Linked DNA regions of Arabidopsis thaliana. The protein of the gene in region 3 interacts with the protein of the main gene of each other region in a pairwise test. Each region holds a gene or a part of one and is shown on either strand. Other genes may lie near its edges.

Region 1 (3,673 bases), on a different chromosome or scaffold from region 3:
ATTTTTGTGTAATTGGGACTTGTCGAAGAAAATAACGAATGTTAGTGCGAAATCTAACAACATTCAACCAAATGAAGGTGATATGATGGGCCAAGAAACGTGGGCTGGATTAGGCGTTATCAGGCTTCAACAGCTCAGTTAGATTATAATAAGATTAGAAGTCACGTGAGTGAAGAGACATGACATGTAATGTGAAATTACGAAGTCGAACACTTTGCGTCTTGGGGTAATCGTTAGGGTTAGGTTTCGTGTTCTACGAAGCAAAGAGCATAAGAGACAGAGAGGCATCTTTTGGGAAAGCGGTGGTCGCCGTATCTCAATTGAACCAAAAATTAACCAATCTCAAGACCGATCCGATTCTCTTTGTTCCCTCTCTCTCTGGGTCTCTTGGTGTTCTTTTAATCTTTTTTACTCTTTCCCGTTTCACGCATTTTGTCCACTCGTGTTTGGCGGCACACGACATCCTCCAACAAGATTATTGAATTGATATTCTTAAAACTCATCAATTTGATTGTTTTCCTTTTGTTGAACGAGTGAGGTTTATAGAAAACACAGTTGATATTTCATGTTTGTAATAAAATGAAATGAATGTTGGTAAATAAGATAATGAAACTCAAATAATAGTATATATAAACATAAAACGTACAATTTATTTATTCTTAATATTTTTTTTTTTAGTTGAGAGCTTATAAAATTAGTATAAAAACGTTACACATTTTGACGTACCCCATTACGATAATTGATCCAAAAATGGGTCGGCCGATCAAATTTAAAATTATTTGATACAAAACCTTACTTTGAAAGCAAAAAAAACATAGATCTGTTCTTGGAGATAACGTAACTTCGTTATTTGATCCAAAATTAGATAAAAAGAGAAAGAAGATAAAGGATAAAGAAATAAGAGCTTAGAGCTACAGAGTGTACTCATTTGATGGGTTCATTCTCTTTGTACCCTTTTTCTTTTAAATTTTAAATTTTGGTTGGAGTTTGCTTCTTTGACTAAATCAATAGAAACATAGAATAACTCTCACCAAGCTAAAGAAAGAACACAATGTAATTGCTTTAAAATCATTGCAAAGTATCTCACTTTGTCTTTATTCCTTTTTAGTTCACTTATAACTTGAACATTGGCTAGTTTTGTTCTTTTAACTCCTTAAAAGCACCGATCTTGGCGATTACGATCTCTCATGCTTGACCACAATCGTAACAACAATATTCAATCACATACAAAACAAATTTTTTGATTAAGGTTAAAAACAACATAATTATACGTCATATACAACATTTTATTTGTATTATTACGACTGTCGTTAGAGAGCCACTGAAATTGTAGTGCGGTGAACATTAACAGTGTCGCACACTATTTGAATTTAGAACATAAAATGGATTCATGCATATATGAGAGTATGACACGTCGAATTGGTGAAGCGAGCGATGACGTGTGGAAGAAGAGATTCGGAAAGAGAAGGAGCGTTTAATTTCGAGATGATCGTGATCAGAGAGAGACCAGATCCTTGGAAGACCGTGACATTGCCAGTCACGTGCCTCTTTTTTGACTACCTTCCTCTCTGCTGCTTTAACTGCAGATGTACTTATCATTTATTTTCTTACTTTACCATTTAAATAATATATCAAAACACTGTAGTTTGCTTAGCATTGTTAAACAAGACTACTCACTTGGTACTTGGTCGTGGAATATTATACGGTATGCAATGAATTTGCATAATAATCTAGATTCGGAGCAGTATCATTAATTAATTTTGTTAGGTTAAAACGTTTTGTTATTAAAAATCGCTTAGAACTGAACAAAAACCAACACATATTTAGAATATTCATTGCAACATCTTTGTAGACAAACTAAAGGAGCAAATTCACATGTAAATCTAAAGAACAAAAGAATAAAGCATAGATTAATCATACACACATAATAAGACCGGGACCAAATTTTCCTCTTTTGCCAAGTTCCCAAATTCTCTATAAATACTTCTTGTCTCCATTTCACAACAGCAACGTGGACTCTTTCTTTGTTTTGGCTGACTCTTCTTTCACCGTTTCCTTAGAGAACTTATTCATCTCATAAACACCACACACAACACACACTTCTCTTTCTCCTTCTCTCTATATATTTTAATATCAACTTTCTAGGGTTTCCAAGTTCATATATAGTGATGGGTTTCTCAATGTTCTTCTCCCCCGAAAACGACGTCAGCCATCATTCCTCTCCATATGCTTCTGTTGACTGCACTCTCTCACTTGGAACTCCCTCCACTCGCCTCTGCAACGAGGATGATGAACGTAGATTCTCGTCTCATACCTCCGACACCATAGGCTGGGACTTCTTGAACGGTTCCAAGAAAGGCGGTGGAGGCGGCGGACATAACCTCCTCGCTCGCCGTTGCGCCAACTGCGACACCACTTCTACTCCTCTTTGGAGAAACGGTCCAAGAGGTCCCAAGGTATTTAATATGTAACCTTTACATCAAATATTTTATCATTTCTTGATGTGGGACTAATATTTCTCTCTGTACAACAAAACAAATATTGATAATAACTTTATATGATTTTTAATTTGGTCAGTCGTTGTGTAATGCGTGTGGAATCCGATTCAAGAAAGAAGAGAGACGTGCATCGACCGCCAGAAACTCGACCTCCGGCGGAGGATCAACTGCAGCTGGAGTTCCAACTTTGGATCATCAAGCAAGTGCAAATTATTATTATAACAATAATAACCAATATGCTTCATCGTCGCCTTGGCACCATCAGCATAATACGCAGAGAGTTCCATATTACTCGCCGGCCAATAACGAATACTCATACGTTGATGATGTCAGAGTTGTTGATCATGACGTCACAACCGACCCGTTCTTGTCTTGGAGGCTTAACGTCGCCGACCGGACCGGCCTTGTCCACGATTTTACGATGTGATGAGTGATCATTTCATAGATATTCCCCTTATAAGTCTTAGCCTTGGATACCTTTTAACAAAAAAGAAAAGTCTTAGCCTTCGTTAAATTCTTTATTTTACTTTCCTTTAAATATAAATATTTAATGTCTTTTTTTGGTCTCTGTGTAAGTGTTTTTCTTAAATTTATAATTCGTATGATGGATGCTACTTGTGTTTTCCTTGCATGACTTTTAAAATGTTCTCTCGGGTAATGAACTAATAATTCGTGACTTTATAACCTTTACATGATGTGTGTCCTACTTTGACCACGATTCAGTGATATACTATACATATACAGAATACATATTCATTCCTTTAATTTCTTTTTAAAGCATCTTTGGGTTTTTGTACGGAGAATGTGAATATTTTGGGATGCAGATACTATCTTCACAAATACTTATATCTTAAACGTTTAATTTGTGAGTTTCTTTTCCAAATTGAAATAATCAAATACTTGGACCGAATTTGAAAATTAAGCCAACAAATATCTGCAGGGTGGCCAAGCTGAATGTTTGTCGTGTTTTGCCCAAATTGTCTTGGAAATTTGACCATCAATTAGGTCTTCGTGTGCTGCTCTGCTTAAAACTGTTGCTGCCAACTGCATGTGAAGAATATTTATCTTTTTCATAACGTGTTTAGTTATTGTATTAAAAAAACGTTAGTTTTTATTTGATTGTTTCCGGAAACACAATCCAAGATAATAAAGTGTTTTGAAACTCTATAACAACA
Region 2 (3,757 bases), about 10 Mb from region 3:
TTGAAGTTTTCCGTAGGAAGCAGCTTCTTATTAGCTTTGGAATCGTTGGCATTTTGCACCACAACATCCTTTTCCTTGTTCATTATCAAACACGGTGTTTGTTCCTCCCTGAGAATTTCCACACAACTAGCATTCGGGTAATTGCCGAAAAGATTCTGAGTTTCACTGGAGGGATTGGAAACACTTGATGATCCGCCGCCCTCAACGCTGAGATTCACACCGCTACTCATAGATTCCTCTGCTCGGGGAATGATCCTGAACTGCAGCCTTTGTTCAGGGAATGGTTCAAAGAAGGTGGTACAACGCGACATGATCAAATGCACCATGCTTTCATCAAACGGTCTCTGATACAGACCAACATTTTATGAAGTAACCACCAAAACCAATGACAGACTTTCTATGCGAAATGCTAACATGTTTTTACCATATCGAAAGCGAACAGCTCAACGAGACCATCACTCACAGGAACAAGAACACGAGTGCTGAACATTTCCTGCCAAAACACATGGAGATCAGATTGTTCTTATGATCAAACGAGTAAAAAAGGCTGACGAAAAGAGTCTTTTTTACCATTTTAGATCCTGAATTAACCAACCACTTTGGAGATTTTGACATCACTACTTCTCCATGAATCCTGCAATTGAGAAAGAAGCTTCATATTATTCTTGAAGAAAAAATTAACTTGAAAGGGGGTTGAATAGATGGAAACATACCCGGGATAGAGAGGCATGAAGAGAGGAAAACGAGAAAGCGCTTCACAAGCTAAGGTTCTTATACGATGCTTGTTGTGGTCATCTCTACAGAAAGAAGCCTTCTTTTTTCTCCCAGTTCCTCCTTCTTCTGAGTTTTCAAGCTTTATATTCTTATCAATATAACAACCACTGCAGCAGCATCCCACCCATTCAATAAACCTGTAGTTTAAATGGAATTCATACCAATTACGAGATGAAGATCATAAAACCCACAAACTTTTAGTAAAACTAGACAAGACAAAACCAAGAACAGGAGGTAGATGGTAAAGCAAAACAAACCATAAACCATTAAAATCAAAAACCAGATGAGCAAAAAAAAAAAAAAACAGAAACCAGAGAAATTTGATAGAACAGAGCCAGAAGTTACTAAGGACTAATCAAAATCAAAAAAATGGAAACTTTGCTACTGAAACAAAATAGTTTCAGGAAGCCAATAACAGAGCAAAAACAAAAAAAAAAGTCCTAATTCAGAAAGCAAAGATAAAAGACAAACACGAAAAACCCATCAGTATACATAAAAACGGAAGCTTTGCTACTGAAACAAAATAGTAGACAGCTGATGATGATTCACATGAACAACGAACAAATAACAAAGAAAAACCGGAGAGTGTGTTGAACCTAGAAGGATCATCACCGAGTTTCCAGATAACACATAAGTCCCAAGTTCTGGAATCGACAAAGGGTCGAAGAAACTCCTTCACTCTCTCACCACCTCTCATCATCATCATCTCACTCTCTCTCTCTCTCTCTCTCACTCTCTCTCTCTCTCTCTCTCTCTTACTCTCACTCTCTCAATCAACAATAAGAAAAGCCAAACAAGAAGCCTGAGTTTTGGTGATCTCTTTTGGTCTTACTTATAAATTGATGCAAGGAGAGAGGGAGAGAGAGAGAGATATTTGGCATATATATACAAAGCAGTTGCTCTGTCAAAACAAATCATATCGGGAATATACGATCGTACAAGACAATGGTAACCAACTTCACTTTTTGAATTAAAACCCAGAGAGAGAGAAAGAAAGAAGAGTGAATCGTCTGCGAGTCTCTGTACCCAAATCCGTGACAGAGGTGACTGTGACATCTGTAGAGAGAGAAGATAGGGTAAGAAAAAGAGAGGTTTTACTCTTGACTGTACGAAGAAAGCTATCATGTGCTTGAAAACGGCCATAAAGGGATTTGAAGCAAAACAAAGTACTGTATCTGTATGGGTTTTGATAGCAACACTCAACAATATGAAATGAGCTAGCTTTTTTTTTTCTGATAAAACCCATCCTCTGTACTATTTACTTTAACAAGGAAAGAGCTTTGATAGCTTTATTACTTTCAAAAGAAAAGTTTGGACCTTTGGTTCTGTTTTTGGGGTTTGTACTCTTGTTTCATGTGAAGAGAGGTATTTGGAATATGTCTTTACCAAAAAAGAGCTCAAAGATACCTTTTAAATTATTATTACAGCTAATTTATGGCTATTTTGTATCTAATTAATCAATCAAATGAGAAATGAAAAGAATGAAACTTGAATCAGACGAAAACTGTCAAAATGAATAATTTTTTAACAAGTCAAAGCTCAAGTTTAAAATTTTCCCGTCCTTTTTAAAAGCTCAACCATTTTCATCAGTCATCACTGGCAAGTTAAGAGGTATAAAATGGCGAAATATGGTGATAATATTAATGTAGTGTTATATGGAGAAATAGATGCCAATGTATACATTTGTACAGATATATAACAATTGCATACGCCAATACAATGTCTTATGTCTATGGTCATTGTTGTTCTTCCATAATGGAACCAATTGATCCAAATCTAAGGACATGACAATTTATTAACATTGCTAAGCTTAATAGAAGGTACCTTGTGTTCATAACCCGAATCAGACAGCCTTCTCAGACCAAGTATACAGTTCTGGTTAGGGTGGTGGTTATGATGACGGTTATTATTGACATCCTTAGCCCACAGTGGATAAAGTTTGAACCTTTTTACTGATAAGTCCACAGAAGTCGTTACCTTAACGTAGATCAAAAATCTCGAACCTAAGGTTCGAGTTCTTGTAGACGTTTGAGCAATGCTCATAAACTGGGTTCCCATCTTCTGGTTCTTTGTGCGGGTGGAATCCAGTCTCTGAGCAGCCTCTCAGTACCTCCATTCCTCCAGGGTCCGTTAGCTTAAATATCCCGTAACTCCTGCCAAAAAGATCAGTTTGAGAGTCTATCAAGGAAATATGTTGACTGTATAATTGACTCCATAGCTTTGGAAGAACATACTTAGAGCTATCAGTTGGAGCTACGACGATTGCAAAAGCCTCTGGCACCATTACCTAAGAATGACATGATGGGAAACTGAGATCAGAATTGTCTCAAACCTAGTATATATGCAATTTGGAAACAGCAGAGATGTACCTGATACGAATAATGTGTATGCAGATCTACAGATGACATGAAACAACCCTGAGAAGGATGAGTCTGGAAAATATGCATAACCTCGTTATAGTAAGTCAAGACAAAGTAGATAAACAGATCACTAAACATGGAGGGAGCTAGAAGAGAGAGATATACATGAATCCATCCTACGGGATAGAGTTCTCTTTCGTTTTGAATGGAAAACACTTCCACTTCATTCATAGCCTGACACTGCCAATTTTAGCACCTGAGTAAGCACCTCATTTTGAATACCACAAAATGATCGAGATAATCTTTCTAAGATAACTCACAGAATTAGAAGTTGATTCTTGCTTAGGTATTATCAGAGTGGTTACATAAAAAATTCCTCTTTCCTACAGCATGAACAGAAATAGAAATGTAATTACCATCAGGTTCATGAAACTCGAAAAACGAAGAACCCTGGAACAGAAGCAAAACAACCATGAATCATGACCACAAAAGTCAAAACAAGGTGTAAACTTTAAACAATAGCATAGATCGAGTTTCACTAAAAATTCAAATTTGCAAAGATCTCTGTTAGAAGTTGTAATTAGGAACAATAAAGTCTGAAACTTTCTAACATTTTCCTTGAT
Region 3 (3,757 bases):
TTACTTTTTAATCATTTCTAAGCTAAGCACAATGGTCCTGTCGCAGAATGGAACTTCACGATTCTAATGTGTTACAATATATTCATAGTAGTAATACTAACCATATTCATTTCAATTAAGAGAAAAGAAGAAGGGTCTACATGGTACGGCATGAACAAAAAAGCTTGAGCTGTCCATAATTTACACACTTGCATTACATTCATACAAAATGCTAAATTACAAATTTTACGCACAGCTAATAACCCTAAAGTTTAAAAGAAAATACAAACAAGTTAAAATGAATAAAAATGAATTGAATCCTAATTTTTCACGATAAAATTGAAGCCCAATCTATCTCATAAGAAGGACACTTGCCGAGCATGAAATTTTCATTCCATGGCATCTCTGGCTCTTGGCACATCTCCTGCACCATAACATCCGAAGTCGGTGAACCCGACCCATCACTTTCACCCGACCCGGAATGTTGTTGTGGCGCTGACGGCTGCTCAGCTGAAGAAGCCGCGGCTTTAGCTCGTTTCCTCGACGTCCTCTCCGTTTTGCCCGGCTGATTCTTCGGCTCAGCTAATATGGCTTCTAGTTTAGCGTCTACGGCAGCTTGAATAGGACCATATTCGCCGGTATCAGACGGAGACGAGCCGGTTTGGTATCGGAGAGCTGGGAAGTTAAGCCGAGCCGAGTCACCACGAAGCTTAAACGCGGCGCGATCATAAGCCAACGCGGCTTCTTCAGCCGTGTCGAATGTTCCGAGCCAAAGTCGGGTTCGGTTCCTGGGTAAACGGATCTCCGCGACCCATTTTCCCCAATGTCTTTGCCTCACTCCTCTATAGAGCTTAGCCGGTTTTGAAACCGAACCCGAACTCGGACCCGGTTGGGTCATAAAACCCGGTTGGCTCGGCTCAATGAAGTTAAGCATGCAAGTGTTGTTGTCTTGGTGAGTGTAAGTGATAGTGTTTTGGTAATGGAACTGAGATTGGTAGTTTTCGGGTTGTTGAAGATCCGACCCGAATGAAGATGGATAGGTCATGGATCCAGAATAAATATCCGGGTAAGAGGTTGTGGAATGTGAAGGGAATAAAGATGCATGAGGATTATAGTAAGAAGAAGAAGAAAATAGGTCGTTTGGGGCAGACGCAAACGCATCGTTTGAGGACGCAAACGCAGGATTTGAAGCAGACGTGGAAGCACTTTTGTAAAAAGGTTGAAGTGCTTCCATAAGCTCGCCGCCGTGGCCACCACCGAAGAGATCCGCCATCGGAGTTTCCTGAAATACAAAAAAAAATGTACTACAAAAAACAAGATTATATAAAATTATAATTAAAAAATGGTTGAAGAAATAAAACCTGTCTTTTTAGAAAAAATTCAAAGACTGGTTTTTTGGTTTATACAGAAATAAAAGTGATCAACGAGGTTTGAAATAAGCAACCTCCATAGATCAAAACTAAAATAAATTTATCAACAAAAAAAGAAATAAAATAAGAGGATCAAAACTTGAGGGAACTAAAAAATGCCCATGAAGTTGATCAACTCTATAAAAGAATGAAAGAATATTAATTGACAGAAAAAATCATAATATTTTTGATGGATATCGTTTTCTTGAAAACACTTTTCAAATACAATTTTAAACAAAAGTTTGTCGTTTTAGATGAGTTTTGGCAAAATATAAACTCATAAAGCAACACTTCATAAGAAAATCGTGATTTGTGTTTTCTCAAGAAAGACGACTGATGAATAGACAGGACATGGAAGAGTTTTTTTCTTTTGGTTTGAAGATGAAACGAAGCAAAGAAAGCAAGAAGAGAATAAACCCTAATTTCACTCAAATTTTAATCTCTCAATTTTTTTTTTCTTCTCTCACTCACACTCACTCTCTCTCACACACACAAACACTCTCTCTTTTGGAAGATGCTCTCAACCTCACCTTGGTAATACCCACCCAACTCTCACCGTTTATATAGAGGGCTTGTTCAATGAAGATAGATTAAAATATTGTTTGTACATCAATAATCCTAAAATAATGTACTTGACTTTTAAAAAAACGTATTTGACTTTAAAAAAATGTATTTGACTCCCACTATATAAGATACATATTTGATCCAAATATATATAAAAAAAGAAGTATAAAAAATAATTGAATAAAAACTGAATATAAATGTTGTAACTAGTGAAATGTTTCGAAGAATAGTTATGAATCCCTTGTTCAAAAAGTCGGCTGATCGGATAGAGTCTACCGCAATTTTGTCCAAATCGAAAAGATTAATCGTTGATCTGATTTATTCATCATAGATCCGCTTAAACCTGTCTAGAGGATGCCTAGTCCAAAACTTTTTTTTCATTTTTTTTTATTTTTTAAGATAAACATTTAAAAATATCCAACTTTTTAAATATCCAAATTTAAAACATCAAACTTATGTTCTAATTTGTATGAAAAAATCATAAATTTGAACTTAAAATCTTGTTTTCATGTGTTTAATACAATTCTAAAAACAATGTTATATAATTCTCTTAATTGTAATGGAGGAATATGTTTTAAAAATATTAAATAACCCTAAACTTAATTTCCGATTAATTTTCGTATAATCTCTGATTTTTTTGTTAGGTGATAGACCTATCCTCATCGTTCGACTAGCGCCTAACGATTTTTTGAGCAAGGATTATGACAAAGTGTTTTGGGTCAAAACCCACATAAACATTTATACGGTTGAATTTGTTCTTCTTGGTAGCGAGTACGGACGAACTACGGAGTACTGTGGGCAGAGCTGTTCTAGACAGAAGCATATCAAATATGAACTTGCGGACTTGCGTAAGCATAAGTACAACGGTTATTTTGGAAACAAATCAATACTTGAATTGGTTATATTGTTTGATGATAATTATTGTAGAGTTTGAATATTAACATTCGCACGACACTTGGACTCGTACGTGGAGACTGAAGATTCCATGCAGAGCAGAAGTTAAAGGTGCATTTGTTCTTAGCCAAAGAAACCAGGTCACATGTCCTTAGTGCCACAATTCGCATTTTTTGCCATTTTTGCGGTGTTTACGTTTTTTCCTTCTTTTTGCAACAGTCGTTGAAAATTAGTTGAGAAAAAAAGTGTTAACATCCTTCTGAGATCGATTAGTACTTCTACTATACCATTAAGTTACTATGCTTATACAAATAGATTTATCGAAAAACATTTAAGACCAATTGTTATGCAAGTATATTCAATTTTTATTATACTCCTTCCGTTTCACTTTAAGATGTTTTAGAGAAATTATTTTGTTTTATTAAGTGATATTTTCAAATTTCTACGCAAAAATATAAATATATTTGAAATGTTAAGAAAAATTATTGTTATAATAAAAATGTTTGAAATATATACTTCTAAATGTTTTGCATTTGAATTTTCTCCGAACTTAAATGGATGATGTTATGAGTAAAATGAAAGAGTGGCTTCATAAAATTACCACTAACACACTTCATTAACAAAAAAACGTTTTCTAAAATAGTGTTTTCTCTTTTCAATTCAGTAATTTTGTTGAAACTAAATTTGACAATTTTAGCATCTTAATAATGCTCGAAACCTCCAACCGTCAACAAATACCGTTGGAACAATAACAGTGATATAATTAAGTGATAATTTAATTTAATGATGAAATAATACCTTCTTCAATAAGTGATTTAAGTGATAATTAAGTTGCAAGATAGAAGAGCCACGTGAGAACGAAAGCATCACGTGATCTCAGGCGCAATTTGCTGCAAGTGGGAAATTGGACT

The links.
Region 1: the proteins of AT1G36060 (region 3) and GATA19 interact in a two-hybrid assay, tested with the Arabidopsis thaliana proteins (one large-scale study listed by BioGRID).
Region 2: the proteins of AT1G36060 (region 3) and AT1G10610 interact in a two-hybrid assay, tested with the Arabidopsis thaliana proteins (one large-scale study listed by BioGRID).

The regions. Positions count from the first base shown.
Region 1 is NC_003075.7:17,268,158-17,271,830, reverse strand, and holds GATA19 (GATA transcription factor 19), read left to right. Parts: upstream 1-1,831; 5' UTR 1,832-2,168; coding exon 2,169-2,456; intron 2,457-2,577; coding exon 2,578-2,925; 3' UTR 2,926-3,142; downstream 3,143-3,673. UniProt on the Arabidopsis thaliana protein: Transcriptional regulator that specifically binds 5'-GATA-3' or 5'-GAT-3' motifs within gene promoters.
Region 2 is NC_003070.9:3,504,186-3,507,942, reverse strand, and holds the start of AT1G10610 (basic helix-loop-helix (bHLH) DNA-binding superfamily protein), read right to left. Parts: upstream 1,758-3,757; 5' UTR 1,481-1,757; coding exon 1,371-1,480; intron 1,065-1,370; exon of another isoform or gene 912-1,064; coding exon 714-911; intron 635-713; coding exon 571-634; intron 494-570; coding exon 425-493; intron 345-424; coding exon 1-344. Other genes in the region: AMSH2 (associated molecule with the SH3 domain of STAM 2), read right to left, coding at 2,753-2,927, 3,009-3,061, 3,144-3,206, 3,300-3,374, 3,455-3,517.
Region 3 is NC_003070.9:13,454,411-13,458,167, forward strand, and holds AT1G36060 (Integrase-type DNA-binding superfamily protein), read right to left. Parts: upstream 1,927-3,757; 5' UTR 1,253-1,926; coding exon 308-1,252; 3' UTR 86-307; downstream 1-85.